Schizosaccharomyces pombe: one gene and its partners. The gene in region 2 interacts genetically with the main gene of each other region. Each region holds a gene or a part of one and is shown on either strand. Other genes may lie near its edges.

Region 1 (5,161 bases), 2.9 Mb from region 2:
GACGCTATACAAGTCCTCATTTCTTAGAGCCAAGAGATACCATAAGCATAAATGGTCAGATTGCTAGTGAAGAGATATTTAATACTTGTTGGAAGCAGGTGATTGAAGTGGATAGAAGATTTCGTACAAAAGCGACGGAATTTGAATTGTTAACTGCTACTGCGTTCCAATGTTTTCATCATTCAGGTGTTCGTGTGGCTGTAATTGAAACAGGAATGGGTGGTCGTTTGGATGCTACTAATGTATTTGAAGAACCAGTTCTTTCAATAATTTCACGTATTTGCTTGGACCATCAAGCATTTTTAGGAAATACCTTAGAGGCTATTGCTAAAGAAAAGGCTGGGATCTTTAAAAAGAATGTTCCGTGCGTGGTTGATGGGTTAAATGAAGTTAACGTCCTAAATCAATTAAAATTAAGTGCAGAGGAAACGAGGGCACATCCGTTTTATTTGGCAAAAGGAAAATCAGGTGAAAACAAAAATGAGTGGATCATCAATACTCCAAATTGGGGAACCAATACTTTTAGTACTCCATTGAAGGGGGATTATCAAGGACAAAATTTGGCTTGTGCAGTAACTGCTCTCGATATCCTTTCTTCGTCATTTTCAATTATGCTTCCCCATGTACAAAATGGTGTAAAAAATACATCTTGGCCTGGAAGGCTTGACATTCGTTCGGTTCCTTCTTTGGGTGATATTTTATTTGACGGAGCACACAATAAAGAAGCTGCGATTGAGCTTGCGAAATTTGTAAATTCGCAAAGACGTGAGCACAATAAATCAGTATCATGGGTAGTAGCTTTCACTAACACAAAAGACGTTACTGGGATTATGAAAATCCTTCTTCGTAAAGGAGATACCGTTATAGCGACAAATTTTTCTTCAGTAAGTGGGATGCCCTGGATTAAATCAATGGAACCTGAAGTTATAAAAAACAGTATATCTTCGGAATCTTCTGTGGAATGCTATACTGCAGATAATCTAACAATAAGCGAAATTTTAAGACTGGCAAAAGAGAAGAATTCCAGCGTAATTGTATGCGGTAGTCTTTATCTTCTAGGAGACATGTATCGTTATTTAAAACTGGACGTATAGCCTCTAAATCGTGCTGTTTACTTTCATACGTTTTTCCTTGTTTGACAAATTTATCATATGAATTGTCACAGAGTGATGAATTGTGCTCTAGAGAATTTTGTTCCATGACTTAAAAACTAAAATTTACTTTCAAAGAAGCTTGAATGATGCTATCAGGTTAATAGAAAAAAGATAAAAGATTTATATTAAGCTTTGATGGGTTTTTGGTGTGAGTTAAGATATTGAGTTAGAAATTGACTTATAGATTACGAATACATTAGTTTAAATACTTGGTGCGCTCTGCCTGCAGCCTTAATAAAACAGATATTATTTTCATTATGTGACTAGATCTTGATTTACAATTCTTACAAGATAAGGTGGGATAACTGAAGCATATTTAGCACATTGAAAGATTCCGCCTTTCTTTTAATTATTATTAAATACTGTCGTAACTGCAATAAAATAAGTAAAACGCTGAAATCGTTAAAAAAATATACCCTTCTATCTCACAGGTTGAGCTAATCAAGTTGATATACGTATAGTGCAAATGATAGGCATTTAAAAATTAGACTAATATAGTTTAACTATTACATTAATTTTAAAATACACAAACATTTAATTACTGTTTTAAAATTATACTCAGAGTCTAATTAATTACAGATTTACCGTAATCCATAGCGCTTGTTATCTATCATTACAGCAACAATGATTGCTACGCACTAAAATTCGTATACGTTTTAGATATAACATGTATAATCCACCAACATTTTTTGAGTATACAAAAAAGCAGAATGGCTGAACAACCTTCTCGGCAGCAGAGTATGTACTGTGGATGAGTTTAAAATACAAAATAGTTGACCAGTTCCAGTTCTACAGACGCAGTACAATTCATATAAGTCTCGGTTACAACAAATTGCGCAGAAGATTGTCGATTTGGAAACCGATGCTGACGAACATAAGTATGTGATACATAAAAAATTTTTAAATTAAATACCTAACTAAAAAGACTTGTTATGGACACATTAAACTCCATGGATAATAATCGACGTTGTTTTCGAATGATCCATGGAGTGCTAGTGGAGAGAACGGTGGGAACTGTTGTGCCTATCCTTAAAACTACTCAAGAAGGGGTAAGGAATTTTTTTATTTTGACCCTTTATTGTCAGATGAATTTTTGGTCTTGATGTACTAATCAAAATATTAGATTCAAACAGCCATGAATGGTTTGCTCGACCAGTATAAGCAGCTCGAAGCAGAATTCCAAAAGTTTCAAAAAGACAATAAAATTCAAGTCGTTAGACAATAATACAGATGACTCCATTAATTGCGCAGTTGCGTTCATTGACACGCCGACTGTTTTTCAAGTGCTTTATCTTCGGTTTAACATTTTTTTCCTAAACAGAGGAACAGGGATAGAATCCAAGAGTATTTGTGTCATCAAATATCATCACTTTATGTTATTAGAGTTTCACTTAAACCGTAGACTTAATACATGTAGTAAGTTAGGTAGAACTAACTTGATTGCGTCTCTACCTCCTTCACCTCAGGCGGAGATGTTTGAGCAACTTCATCAACAACGTGCTGGGAATCCTTATGGTCGACTTCGTTTGATTTTTCTTTAATTACATTATAGCACACAATTTTTTCAGAGGGTATGTCCTCTTGAATTTTGAAAGCAGGTAATGAGCATAAACCGGGAACGTGAATAGTCATTGAATATGCACAGCTTGAAACTTCTTGATATTGAGTAATTTCAGGAGTATCCGAATTTGTACTGCATTCATAACTTAGAATTACGTGTCTTGGTCTCTTAGTAATGTCGCACATAGTCCCATTTCGGAAAGTTGTTTGCAAATATGCTTTACCTTCAACAAATCCAATAGCCCAATTTTCTTCCAAATTCTTTTTAGTTTGAGTGTTAGGTGCCGTACCAAGTATATACATAGGGTTAGCAAGGACTTTGTCAGAACCTTGCTGCGGCTCCAAATGATATTGACGCACGTGTTGACCGTAGACATAGTCATAAGTCCAATAACCACGATTCTAATACAATGATTAGCTTGAAAAACACTACATGTACTAAAAGTAGTCATTAATTCTAAAATTTTTATGGACATGTCAAATAATGACCTTTTAGTAAAGTTGGTTTGTTTAAGACAAATAAAACAATTAGAACTCGTACCTCGATTAAAAATACATTAGCAAGCTCATTGATTTTTTCAGTCCCTTGTATCCGCAATTCTTGTAAATCATAGCTTGGTTCGGTTGTGCTATTTTGTTTTATAAGAGACGCATTGGGATATACACAAAAATATTCATGCTTTCCAGCATAGAATAATGACGATAATTTAGTTTTTTCAGTTTTTTCTTTAATTGAGTCAATGTCGCCCTCTAATATTGACACATTACTCCATTCAAACGAATATTTAGGATATTCATATGCCTACAAAGGAAGTCCGTTAGAATTGAAGAGAAATTAGGTTCAAGAGCATACATCATTCCAGTCTAACAAAGAAGCTAAACATATTGGAAAAATAAAAAACCCCACAAAAGCAAATGGTAGCACCATAGTCCTAACTTTAGATGAGCCGATTGCAGGTAGAATCAAATGTGGAAACATACTTGAACTGAACATATGCGTTATATCACAGTATACCGAAGTGCGCAAAGCTCGAACAATTTACAAAAAGCTAAATACGATAGTGCGTAAAAAATAGTAGTTTACATTAGAGGTAAGTGTTACACGAGATTGTTAACATGAATGAAAACGAGGGCATTTCACTTGGTGAATTAGGTACGTTGCTACTAGAAGCATTAACTCCTCCTTTTAAATTTTAAACTAATAAAAAACTTTAGAAACAAGACCGTTTTCAGAAGGGATAACGCGGTTTACAAAAGAACAAGCAGCTTATTACGCGGAGCAAAAGGAAAAGGATCGCATTAAGGCTCTTAAAATTCCTTATGAAGATTCCAAAGTTCGTGAATATCTGCGTCGTTATGGTGAACCCATAACTTATTTTGGTGAAGATGCCTTAGCCCGACGCCAAAGGCTTCAGCAATTAATGATCGAAAAGTCCCTAGAAGGAGACAATCCATTAGATGTAGACCAAGGGGCTTCTGAAAATATTGAGAAGGAGACGTATGTTCAAGGAAGTCACGAACTATTAGTTGCTCGTAAAAAAATAGCTCTTTACTCCTTGGAAAAGGCAAAGCTCAGATTAAAAAAAGAACGGGAAATTTCCGAGATTCCAGTACCTGAAATTGTACTTTCCGGAAAGTCTTCAATCGAACATTTACAAAAGGCTGAATTGATGGGCTCTCAGATAGGTGGTGAGCGACCAATAGCCATTGTTAGATTCAGTAATAATGGAAATCATTTTGCTAGCGGAAGCTGGGGTGGCCAGGTCAAGGTGTGGAATTCTGATAACCTCTCAGAGGTTCAATTGTTTCGCGGCCATACCGACCGAGTTTCTGGTTTGGATTGGTATCCTCTATGTCAGGCATGGGATGCAGATTCTGAGCAGCTGACTTTAGCGACTGGAGCCGCAGACAATACTGTTTGTTTGTGGAAAGCAAGTCAATCTACTCCACTGTTACGTTTGGAAGGACATTTGGCTCGTGTTGGTCGAGTTGCTTTTCATCCAAGTGGTGATTACTTAGTTTCTGCCTCATTCGACACTACATGGCGGTTATGGGATGTACATACAGGCGTTGAGTTGCTTATGCAAGAAGGTCATTCGGAAGGGATTTTTTCAATCGCCTGTCAGCCAGATGGGTCGTTAGTTAGCTCAGGTGGTAATGATGCTATCGGTCGGATTTGGGATCTTCGATCAGGCAAATCAATAATGGTATTAGATGAACATATTCGTCAAATTGTCGCGATGGCTTGGAGTCCAAACGGCTACCAACTTGCAACTTCTTCAGCCGATGATACTGTGAAAATATGGGACTTGCGGAAAGTGTCATTGGCACATACTATTCCCGCACATTCTTCTCTTGTTTCAGACGTTCGTTATATTGAATCAGGTGTTAACAGATTCATCGCTACGAGTGGTTATGATGGCTGCGTAAAGCTTTGGAACCCGTTG
Region 2 (6,390 bases):
GCAGTCCTAAATAGTGTTGTTGGAAAAAATATATGTGTAAATAAACGATTTGCAAAGGAGGAAAAAAATAGCGCAAATAGACAAAACGGTCGTTTTACTCGAGTGACACTAGTAGATCCATCAAACCGATAATATCGGGTATTGTGATGGCTGAGTGGAAAGTTTGAATGAATAACTGCGAGAAACTAGGCTACACACATAGGAGTCAAAATAGTGTAACCCGCAAAATATAGAAATCCAATTCATAAATGTGAGAATGACAATTCATTTATTATAAATTGGAAACTCATTTCATCTTTTCTTTTTTTTTCGTGAAATACTACGAGTTTCTCTTAAATCCGGGGAGAAAGTACGGATAAAATCCCATGATTAAGAAGGGGAGCGTCGGACGACAAAGGTAGCTTAAATTAACAAATGGCCAAGTGATTTTGGCCATTTGGGGTATGATTTCGCTTCTCTCGATCAAGATGCAAGCGATTAAAGAACTGGACTCGGAAGAGGAACCAAAAGTTGGCGAGTTCTATAAGGGCAACACAATTTCGTTTTGCAAAAATTCGCTTGAAAATGATACTCAATTACCTCAAATTCTCTTCTGCATTAATCCTAAATCCATCCGAAATTTTCTTTTTCCACCCATAGCAATATCAGATCCGAAAGAAGCTCAAAATCACTGTTCGTCTTACTATTATATTAAGTACCGGTATTATATTGTACAGTCAAGATGCGGGATGATGGGAAGAATGTCTTTTTAAATATTATCTAAAAAAGGTAATAGTTACATGTTAATAACTATATATATATATTTCCAGACTATACTAGTAAAGTAACGGTTGAAAAAATGTGTAAGTAGAAGAACTATTAAACTTAATTGCGTTCAGTAGTTTCTGCATGGTTTTTAACTAAAACCATGTTCGATATTGTTAACTATTAAATATACTTATTCAAAAAAAAAGAACACCAGATTCTCCTGTCACGCATCTAGGTTTCCAGTTTTTCATCTGTTCCCTCATTAACGTTCTACCAGTTGCCCGCATTGTTCCAGAAGATCAACCCAAATCTGAACGAGATGCAATAGCCTGGAGACTACCAGAGTCTTCATTTTACCCGACCGAGATCGTTTCCATGGTCGGAATCGAACACTGGAATACTTGAGACTTGGCGAAAAATGAGTATTATACAAGGGAAGAAAAGAAGAAGAAAATAAAAGGATAATTTATGTTTTACGGCAATAAAATAATGAATTAATAAGCAAGAAGTATTAAAATGGACTTTACCACTAATGAGGTTCTGTTTAGTAGGTTAGTAGTCTGTAAAAATTTGACAAGAAAAAATTTTCCGTTTCTTCAATTGAAGGGGAGCTCCATTTTAAGATTTGAATGGTCTGAAGAAATGTATAGATTGTATATATGGTTGTTACCGTACCGAAAAGACTATAATGAAAAGTTTAAGGGAATTCTAATAAATCCTTCTATTTTTCTTCTTGGCTGTCATCATGTTCAAATATGCAGTTTTCCGAACAACCTTGTATTTTTCATGGGAAAATGCGATTTGTTTCGTTTTTGTTAGCTTTGTTTGAATACCATTTTTTAACTTATGCGATACTTTCTAAACGGAGTTCACTTTTTAAATTAATCTATATCAACTGAGCCGTTCAATTCAATCCCTTTTTTTATATCAGCTTGTAAACAAACGTTTCAGGAAATGAGAAAGTTCAAAAAGCGTTAAACAGTGAATGCTTGTATGTTGAGCTTTGACTTGTTTGCAAATGTTTAATTGTCGAAATTCATCATCTGTATCTGTCCAAAGTTGTGAACTGACAAGATAGAGATTAATTTGTTAGATCACGCAAAGTACGATATGTTTAAAATGCTTATACCAGGTTGCAGTCTTTGTTTTTCATAGCTTTGCAAAAAAAAAAGTGGATTAAAATACTAATGACTACTAGGGTTCGAAAGGTTGCTGTTCGATTATGAAAAAGCGTTCACTCTTTTATCTCCCAAGCGATGATTTGAATTTTTGATGCATCTGTGGCGTAGAATATGATCAATCATTTTAGAAAACAGAATAATATTCAAGGATCCATTTAAAGTCCTATATAGAGTAAAGGATTTTAGCTATTATCCTCACATTGAAGACTGGTCCCATTATACCGAAGTCTGTTGACATTAATATCGTTGTACCGGCTTTTTGAGTAGACTAAATATCTTGTACAGGATCTACTTTGAAAGAGGGTATTAGGTCCTTTTTTTATTTTTTGTTTTCCAAGGATTAAGATAGAAGCTGAATTTTTTTGGCTAGGCAAAGTTGACTAATTATTAACAGACTGTGGTTCGAGTGATTAGCAATCAACCTATCCTTATATGAAATCGTGCTTTTAACAATTTCGGTTGTTGGGAGATAACTGTGTGTACGGAGAATCAGAAATTTTTGTTTTGGAAAATATTTGTAAAAGCAATTACGTCTAAATATAATGAATTACGCGCTAGAAAATTTTCATATAGCTGAATCCCGAAAAGCTCAACCTCCCATATGATTGAGCATCCATAAAAGCATGAAATTTTTGGTACAAGTATCGGTGAATCGTAAATTTAGAAATAACTGAGCAATTTTATCTCATACATAATATAGGAATGAAACGTTTGTCGATCAATAACTAGTCTGATACTTGATGCAAACATTTAATCAAATACCCTTTTTTAGGAATTTAAGGAAAGGGCTTTAAAAGAAATTGAAAACTTAACTAGAACTAGCTTTTCTTAATCGTTTCTCGTAACTTATCACCACACGCTAACATTAGCATTCCTTTGTATTCCAACGTTACCTACACTGCAGTCAAGGAAAATCATCCAACCTAACATTATTCCTTTGCATATCGCGTCCATTTTATTTTCTACCATGTCAAATACTGTTAGGAGCTTAGTCATCAAAACTAATGTCGTTAAAAGAATTATTAAAGATGTAGAAGTAAGTTTCCTTTTTGGATCGCGATTTTGTAGATGGAATTTTCTGACCTCAACAATTGTTTAGTTGGCTCATATCGATATTAACGAGGCCGAGAAACGTGTACAAAGTAAAATTGATAATGGGGAAGATTCTGCAGAAATTGAGCATCAGGTATGTTGCATTAGTTGAAACCATATAAACGTTGGACGTGTTGTGCTAGAAGATGTTTCTACCAAGCTGAAGATACTTTTCGGTGGTTTCCGCTTTAGCGTATCTTTTTTAAAATAAAAAATAATCAAAGTACTGACATTCTGGACCTCTAGAAATTTGTTTTGAAGAAGCATCTTGAGGCGTTGCCAGATGCTCTTGTACGTCTTCGTAATGCGACGAACGACTTGGAATCCATTTCTTCTGACAGTGCATACGAAGGAACTCCTGAACTTGAACAAGCAAATGAATATTTAGAAAAAGCAAAAGAAGTAATTGAAAAAGAGCAAACGAATTTCCCCACGAATGGGTACCACTGAATACACATTTACTAGCTTTTGTAGATCCCTGCTAAAATTTATTACTGACCCTTCAAAAGACGATCATGAAAAGGTTCTACGTTCATCATTCTTTACCCACCCTTTCAATGCTATCCTACTCAACTGTACTGTGTCTTCGATTTTTATTCCAATCCATTAAAATAATAGACAATCCCAACTACTTAAGGATTATCCAAGTCATGCTTAAATCTTTTTTAAGATTTCGCCAATCTATTCTAATTTTGCCAGTTAGGTGAAACTGTTCACATAAAAAAACATACGTATTCCCCTTTATTCTACTAGAGATTTAAATTTTAGCTGGACAATCAAACAATTTTAAAACAACCAAATGTTCCTGCTAACAAGCAGCATAGACAGTCGTCCTCTAGTATTTATTTGCACTTTTATTGTGAGTGTAATGTAGCGTATCACTATGTTAGATTGTACAGCTCATTGTTTGACGTTACTTACCATCTGAGCAAAGAGAAAGAAACACTTCGCGTGAACATTAAACAGATTGGGAGCATAAAACGTTCCATTTGTATACCTATGGCAAGTCCGCCAATATTATCAAGGGAATCACCTGTGTTGGGTTTAGAAGAAGAGAAGAAATCTGACGGCGGCAACTCTGAAGTAAATATTGACCCTTCTGCATCTTCATCGTTGAAGGAAGATGTAGATGGCGAAGAGGGAGCTGATACAAAAATAGATCCACACCTTCTTGAAGAAGATGATTTAAATCCTGTAGAGGATTACGATTCTAAAAACCAAAAAGTCGTTGAAGCATCTAAACTTGACCTTGACGCTACATCAACTGTTTGGGCGGAGAGTCTTAGTATTAATAGAGAAGCTAGTATTTCCCAATCAGGCATTGTAGACAATGAAATGGAGAAAAAAGTTGAAGAGGAAGAAGAGTTTGACGAATTTGACGATTTTGGTGAATTTGAACATGATATCCCCATCTGTACATTTATGGGTGATTGGCAAGATGATTTCCAAGATGCTGTCAATTCTGTATTTGGACTACCTGAAACTCCGAAAACAATTGAAGAATCCTCCTTGGATCCGGATCGTATATTGTCTCTTTGGCAAAAACTGATTGAAATGCCCGTGCTGCAACGGCCAGATTGGCTGAGGTCTAGCATCAGGCATATTTTTTTAGTTACTATGGGTCTTCCTGTTGATTTGGATGAACTTTTGCCTACTCCTTCTACCCAGGGATCATTCAATTCTTCACGCACAATAGAATTGTCTTCCGTGACGTTGCCAAAATCTGAGGATGAACCATATTTAGATTATTCAGCTGCTCGTCGTTTATGCAGCATAAACAAAGACGCATTAACCCACCGATCTCATGAGTCTTTACAACAGCATATAGAGTTACTAGAATCAACTCTGCAGCAAGCTGTTGAAGTTGCTCGATATTGGACCGATAAAAGGGATTCAGCTCTTAGCGATAAGTTGTTATATGAGACGGTTGTCGATGATTTAGTTCAACATAGCAAACGTTTAAGAAACTCTGGTCGTAAATTCCTTTCTAGAAGGAGCACTTCCTCTCATAAATGATCCCTTTATATCTTTAATTACCGACCTCTTTTCCTGAATTGCTGTTTTCTTGTTTAATTTTACGGGAGTAAAATAAAACGGAAGCGTTTTATTTTTGTTGCTGACGAACCTTTGTTACGTCTAACGTGATTAGATTTGACTTGTGATTCAGCTGTATTGTCTTCTTCGATTCTTTTGCCTCTTCTCTTCTTTTTAATGACTAATATTTTAATGACTCTTCTCTATGTGTTTATCAATATTATGTCAACCACTTGTAAATATAAATGGAACAGTATCCTAACCTAAGCGCCATTCTTGGTTATTTACATAATAGTCCATAATTATCTCTAAAGAAAAGGAGCAAATTTTGATTCACTGTTGGTACTTAAGTTATTCATCGTTAAAAAAACATTAAGAACATTTGTCGACACATTTCTGGCAAATTGATAACAACTTGAATGAACTGTTAAAATTATAAGCAGGAAGTTGAAATTTTATTTTTATTTATACTTATTCGTTAGACTTGCATTTGGAATGCTTTGGATTTACTAGTACCCTTATTCTCTTACAACCTGGACGTTCCTAGTAATATCAAACAATTAATTGACTTATGGAATTAGATGGCTTATCGACTAAAAAAAGCTAAGGCATTTCTTGACTAAAAACGCAAGGAAAGGACTATAAAAATTTGATTGTTACTACAGGTAAATCGAGAACCATCGTATATAGGAGCTGCAAAATTTTGTATATTATTGGTATGTTTGTCAGACGCTAAATGATTCTTACTTGATGGATAGTTTAACCTTTTTTTTTTGAGATTTACATGCAATTCATCTATTGCCTAAATTCACCAGCCATTATTTTGACAAATGCATTAAACTATTTAAGTATAGCGATTGCTTTTATAAAAGGATTTTGGTGCAGTACTAGGAATATGAATACGCGATTGATATTGAGTAATGTTCTGGCACAAGCGTTTTCAGCTGACAGATTTAAGCAGTCTGTTTTATAACTATTCTCAAGTAATACTTTCCCATTGAAAATAAAAAGTTATTTTTGTAATGTGGTTGGATTGTATAGTACGACTCTGCGGTTGAAGAAATGCAGAAAGCATCTTTGGCTAGCAATATAAATAACAAAAAAAAAAAAAAATTAGTCAAGCTAATTTTGTGTTTTATAAACAAAAAAAAAAAACCTTTGGAACAAAATTCTTAGTATACAAATTGCGATAACGTATTGTAATAGCCAGCACTCAATTTGGATTCTTAGTTTCAAGATATACATATATCGCTTGGATTAACGCTAACACCATTTTTTACGATTATTTTTCGCCTGCAAAAGAAAAAATCATAAGGGAAATATTATATATTTACAC
Region 3 (5,655 bases), on a different chromosome or scaffold from region 2:
AACTTAGCATCATTTCTTTGCCGTGGTTTTTGTCGCTTTTCCTTTGCACAATGCCTTTACCGTATGCGTTTAGGTTGTTAGACTTTTTCTTTCTAGAGGGTCCAAGGGTTTTGTTTCAAATTGGAATGGCTATCCTATATGACAACGAAGCTGAAATTATGAAGGCTACAGAAGACACTATGTTGATATCAATTTTAAAAAATTATTTTTCATCATTGGGAGATAAGGCTTATAAAGATGCAACAGATAAACGCGTTGCCTCTATCACGAAGTTTCAACTTTTATTGGTAACTGCTTTCAAGAAGTTTAGCCATATAACACACTCTTTAATTGAAGATGAAAGGAAAAAACATTACGAAGGAGTTATGAATTCTATTGAGTCATTTGCAAAGAGAACACAAATTAGGAGTTTACAAAATTACGGTACATTAACACGTACGGATTTAAGTAATATTTACGACCGTTATCATGAAGTATTGTCGTCCAAACATCGAGTTGGATTAGGCAGCTCTACTGATACACGGTTGGAATTTGACGAATTTTGTATATTTTTAGCAGGAGTTACTGAATGGGCGAAAGGTTTGGATGCAGCGGCTATCAATAATTCATCATCCTTTCTTCGTCATTTGTTTTTACGATTTGACAAAAGCATGACTGGATCATTATCTTTACAGGATTTGGTGTCCGGTATTGCAGAATTGAAATTTAGGGATGTAATGCGCAATATATCTTTTATATTCGAGCTTTATGACTTTAATGGAGATGGTTTTATGGATAAACCAGACGTTTTGAAGGTTTCAGAAGCTATTCTTTGGTTAACTAGGTTTATGGGTGATGAGTATCTATCCGCAGTTAGCGAATTCATACAACGCTGCTTTCATTTTGCTGATGAAGCTAGTCCTGATGGTCATTCTGATACGTTGATTGATATAAGCGACCATATGAGCAGTACTGGTTCTGAAAACCGTTCTGTTGGTGCTAATAGTGATATCAAAGTTAGTCTTCCCACTTTTAGAATGGTTGTTTTATCAATTGGTTTATTAGAGCAATTATTTTCTGGAGGACTCGCCGACTCTATCGTTTTAGCTCCAGTCCAAGAAAAATCATCAACCACCGGAGGTTTGAGAGGTTTATTGGATTCTTTGGTAATTGATACCAATAGGATTGGTAAAACATTTCGTGGGCATAAACCCGCTTCTCGTCCAAGTACCGCAAATGGTACTAGCAATCAAAATACTACTTCTGAAATTACCACATCGGAAACTACGGCGACTGAAAAAACACCTTCAAATTCTTCAGATACCGAAGATGATGTTGGTGATGTTGTAGAAAACGATAAAGATTTGCTTCAATTTGATCCATACAAAAAAAATGATGCTTAAAAAGCTATACTTAAACTTCTAATCAATGGCACTATAATGCATCCTAACTAGTATTATTTTCCCAAATTTTGTTAATCTTCATGCTCATAATTTATTAATTATTGAAAAATCTATCATCTATATTGATATATTCTATAGCGTCCCTCTGCTCAATAACATATTCGATTCTACTTTCACTGTTTGGTATAATTCTGAATAACTGTTTAAAACAAATATTGTTTCAACCAACTAACTGATTGTATATTGAAATGGATTACCATGTACCTGTAATTTAATGCAGTGCAGCGTTGGAATTTCTACCAGTTCCTTCGTATCTTGACTGTTCTAATAGAAGCGTAATAATGGCTGAAGGTAATAAAGCGGTCGATTTGACTTCTCTCAGCTTGGAGCAATTATCAGAAGTTATAAAACAGTTAGATTCTGAGCTAGAGTATCTATCGACCTCCTATGGACAACTAGGACGTGCTCAATTGAAATTTCGTGAATGCCTGGCAAACGTTAACGATGCTGTGCGGGCTGAGAACGATGGTATAGACAAACTGAAATTTTTTTTGCATATGTTTCACTAACTATTGTCAATAGGAAAGGAGGTTTTGGTACCTTTGACTTCAAGCTTGTATGTTCCTGGAAAGCTGAATTTAGGAAACAGTAAATTGTTGGTCGATATTGGGACTGGTTATTACGTTGAAAAGGTATTTTTAATATATAAGAGATTTTTAAACCTAACGACATTAGTCCGCTGGAGAAGCTACCGAATATTATAAAAGAAAATGTGAATATCTCGCCAGCAGTATCGAGAACCTCAACAATGCCATTGACGCAAAATCAGTTCAAATTAGAGGTATGAGCATTTACAGTACAGATCAATTTTTATCTTATTATCAACAATTTGCTAATTCTCTGTAGCCGTTCAAAACATTATGCAACAAAAGGCAACAGCTACAACAGCTGCAACTAAATCTTCATAAGCTAAATAATTAATGAAATTTCAAAAAAAGTAAGTAAAGGATTAACCAATTATATGATGTGCATGCTTTTTGTTAGTTCTGTGAATCTTCCGCGGTAATGTTCGTTTGAGCGATAACTGGAGCTTCGTCGTCAGTATTTTCAGTGTTCATCGCCGCCAATGTTTGTAAGTAAAGAGCCTTGCTGTAAAGCAAACTAGTTTGCGCGATATTTTTTATGTCCTCGAAGTTTTCAGGCTCTGAAGAAGGTTCGATATAAACACGCTTATAAAGTTAGACCAATATAGCAGATTTATTATACTTACCTTTTGAAGAGAGTCCACCTTGCCATTTAATTTTTTGGCTTCGATTATTTCTAATAAATTTTTCTCAATGAAGTTCTCATCAATATGAAAATCAACTGCAATTTTGCTGAACGGCAAAGCACTGTAAGGAATTAAATAGTCAAGAAGTGAACGCTCCCGAATAAGGGAAAATAAATTTGTCAATTGAGGAGCCAGATACATGTCTAAAGAATAGTCTTGAGCATTTTGCTGTAATGTATCAAGCAAAAGACTATATTTGCGATTACATTTCGCTTGCAAACAACGTCTCAGGGAAGGGTCTAAATCTGACAAAGCATTGAACTCTTCATTTCTTTCAAGCTCTTGAATCAGACGTTTATGATCCCAGCACGCTAGTGCACAAAGTGAGATATACACTGAAATGTCAGTTTTTGTAATAATACCATCAGAGGTATCAGTTTCAACTTTTAAAAAATGAGCCAGGGCCTCTTCGTAATCACCCAAGCAAAAGTTGGCCAATCCACAGTATGCATAAATAGGACTAGTTAGCTCCATGGCTGCACTAACAGTAGACTTGGCGCGAGACCCGAAGGCTAGTACATGAGAATAATTACCAATCCAAATAGAAATTCTCATTAACTCTAAGGATAAATGAGCAATTTGTCCAGCATTTGTACAATATTCGCGAACTTTGGCATATGATCTTAAAGCACTATCAAACTGGCCCACATCAGCAAAAAAAGAAGCTAAATCTAGTTGTGCCGCCTAAAGTTGTTAGAATTGTAACAAAGGATGTAATAAAAAGTCTGTGAAGCAAAAAGTTATCTTGTAGCTCATACTCTTATAGATTCTCGTATTAAGTTGTTTTTATAGGCTTTTAGTTCCCTTCTTAATTGTTCTAGATTTTGTTTCCTATGAAAAGTAACGCTTTCAACCCATTCTACGTCCAGCTGCTCGTTTTCGAAGCAATCTTGAAACTCCTCGAATAGAGACTGGTACAACTCTAGATTATATGTCTTTTCTTTCAATTCTTTAATGGCATAATGAACACAAAAACTTCTTAACGGCTTAGAATTACGGGCGACAAACAGCGCGCGAAATATTTTGGACCATACTATGAAACTGTGAATAAAAGAATGACTTGCAAAAATGCATCAATTGAAAAACTCTTACCACCATATTCATCCAGATATCTCTTTAATTCTTCCTGATTGACTAGTAGATTTAAGCTCATAATAGAAAACTCGTAACTAGTCGGAACACTGTAGGTTATAGAATTGGCCAACTGGTTATAGGCCAGTGACGAGTACCAGATGTATAAAAGCTATAATAAGATGGTGATTTTTTCAAGTCGAAGATGTATGTAGTTAATTAGTTCTACTTTACGGAAACGAGAAAAACATATCATATTGATTTTATTTCTTTCCCCAAATTTCCAAGCAAAATCGCATCTAAAGTTAGGATATGAGTTTACTATTAATATGAGATACCAAGATTAGAACCCCATGTATTCAATAATAAAAATAAAAAATATGAAAATTGTTGCAAATATCTTTTAACTATTCCCTTGAAACAATGCTCAACTCTAATTAAAGCATTTCCTAATTGAGATTTAAAAAATAAACGAACAAATCTATAGCCAAAGAATTGTTGAAGTCTAAATAAAAAATAATAAATTTTCTTTTAAAAAAAAAGGAAACTTAAGGTGGTTGAATTTACTAATCTACTTCGAGTTATAGGAAGTTTGGTTATGTAACTTCTTTACTTAGAAAATAAGACAACGATAGTAAAGAAATTTACGAGCAGAATTCATAATTTCGTTTTAAAAATCCAATCAACATAAAGTATCTACTTTGTCCTCCCAATGACAAAATCTTTGTATCTGTCACAAGTTTATTGTTTATATGTTTTCGCATTAACAATTATTTTGTTAAGAGAAGTGTAATATATGCGTATTCTACTTGGAAAGAACAAACTAAAGAGATAAAAAAATCCTGAAAGTGAAAGGCATTTGAGTAGTGTCAAATTTACAATTGGAAAACTGCTATTCTATTTTTTTTCCTCTTTTTATATTAGGGAATATAAGGTTAAACAACATAATCAAATAACGATACTTAGTGCGCTTAGAAGCACACCTACATATATGTATGATGAAATGGTCAGGCAAGGCTATAATTTTACTTAACAGGCATTACTTATTGAAATTGTAGTTGATCGGTCCTTAAACAAATGGAAACAGAGGCTTTATTGAATGAAAAAATATCGGTTCAACAAGCAAGACAGGAGTAAGTGTTTTTACAGCAAATTTCATGACGTGAAACAAAAAATGCTTGATTTGATCTCAAAGTTTGAAAAGTTGCTAACTGAACTTTAGATTTGCTAATTATGCAAATAATATACCGGAACCAATGATGGTATCGGTTGCTCCGCCTAAAGCAAATCCGTCAGTCAGTTCGAAGACAAAGCAGCAGCAGCATTTTAAGCCTGGTAAAGCGACGAAGGATAAGGCCACTACCAAATGCTGTACTATTTCCTAATGTTTTGTGGAACGTTGTTTAAGCATCTTACGTGCACTTCCTACCGTCTGTGCTCACCTAGTAATTAACATGAAAGGAGCATTTATTGTCTATTCCTATACCAATCATTAGGATGAGTGATTTATCAGATTGGTAAATTTGTTATTTATACTCTTTATTTTATTTCGTACTATTTCGATTTTACCATAATTATTCTTTTGGACCTTAGTTATCGGAATGGCAATTCGTCAAATAACCGACACAGTGGACCATTTTCTCCTAACTTAATAATTTTCTAATACTGATTCAATCGTTATTTATTCATATAAAATACAATTTTTTGACGAGACTTTCTCATTATCTGAATTTGTTATTCTTTGTTTTCTTCAAAGCAAACAAAACAGCGCTCAGGATAAAAGGTTATGTTCGGGGGATTGTTAACTATTCTATTTTTTTTTGGTTTATTTATATATTTAAAAATTCTAATCTCTTATAACACTTGAAGCTA

The links. A genetic interaction does not mean that the proteins touch.
Region 1: mutations in alp31 (region 2) and pfd2 together harm fitness more than expected from each alone (negative genetic interaction), as found in Schizosaccharomyces pombe (2 studies listed by BioGRID).
Region 3: mutations in alp31 (region 2) and pfd5 together harm fitness more than expected from each alone (negative genetic interaction), as found in Schizosaccharomyces pombe (2 studies listed by BioGRID).

What each region holds. Positions count from the first base shown.
Region 1 is NC_003424.3:511,967-517,127, forward strand, and holds pfd2 (prefoldin subunit 2), read left to right. Parts: upstream 1-1,835; 5' UTR 1,836-1,864; coding exon 1,865-1,892; intron 1,893-1,941; coding exon 1,942-2,032; exon of another isoform or gene 2,033-2,079; coding exon 2,080-2,203; exon of another isoform or gene 2,204-2,277; coding exon 2,278-2,379; 3' UTR 2,380-2,585; downstream 2,586-5,161. Other genes in the region: fol3 (folylpolyglutamate synthase), read left to right, coding at 1-1,094; putative misfolded glycoprotein sensor Yos9, read right to left, coding at 2,586-3,116, 3,256-3,516, 3,568-3,642; rna4 (Prp4 family U4/U5/U6 small nuclear ribonucleoprotein complex subunit), read left to right, coding at 3,831-3,867, 3,930-5,161.
Region 2 is NC_003424.3:3,374,253-3,380,642, forward strand, and holds alp31 (tubulin-specific chaperone cofactor A Alp31), read left to right. Parts: upstream 1-2,853; 5' UTR 2,854-2,895; coding exon 2,896-2,964; intron 2,965-3,027; coding exon 3,028-3,114; intron 3,115-3,266; coding exon 3,267-3,470; 3' UTR 3,471-3,648; coding exon of another isoform or gene 3,649-3,706; 3' UTR 3,707-3,751; coding exon of another isoform or gene 3,752-3,769; 3' UTR 3,770-3,816; downstream 3,817-6,390. Other genes in the region: SPOM_SPAC8E11.12 (uncharacterized protein), read left to right, coding at 444-752; SPOM_SPAC8E11.08C (uncharacterized protein), read left to right, coding at 1,264-1,566; SPOM_SPAC8E11.06 (uncharacterized protein), read right to left, coding at 3,649-3,706, 3,752-3,769, 3,817-3,842; SPOM_SPAC8E11.05C (uncharacterized protein), read left to right, coding at 4,020-5,036. UniProt on the Schizosaccharomyces pombe protein: Required for the maintenance of microtubule structures and cell polarity. Beta-tubulin-folding protein; may have a regulatory role in the tubulin-folding pathway.
Region 3 is NC_003423.3:4,025,695-4,031,349, forward strand, and holds pfd5 (prefoldin subunit 5), read left to right. Parts: upstream 1-1,711; 5' UTR 1,712-1,723; coding exon 1,724-1,910; exon of another isoform or gene 1,911-1,964; coding exon 1,965-2,074; exon of another isoform or gene 2,075-2,117; coding exon 2,118-2,223; exon of another isoform or gene 2,224-2,288; coding exon 2,289-2,350; 3' UTR 2,351-2,422; coding exon of another isoform or gene 2,423-2,611; 3' UTR 2,612-2,652; coding exon of another isoform or gene 2,653-3,396; 3' UTR 3,397-3,449; downstream 3,450-5,655. Other genes in the region: SPOM_SPBC215.01 (GTPase-activating protein), read left to right, coding at 1-1,382; COP9/signalosome complex subunit Csn1, read right to left, coding at 2,423-2,611, 2,653-3,396, 3,471-3,745, 3,805-3,865; heterotrimeric G protein gamma subunit Git11, read left to right, coding at 4,861-4,916, 5,006-5,168. UniProt on the Schizosaccharomyces pombe protein: Binds specifically to cytosolic chaperonin (c-CPN) and transfers target proteins to it. Binds to nascent polypeptide chain and promotes folding in an environment in which there are many competing pathways for nonnative proteins.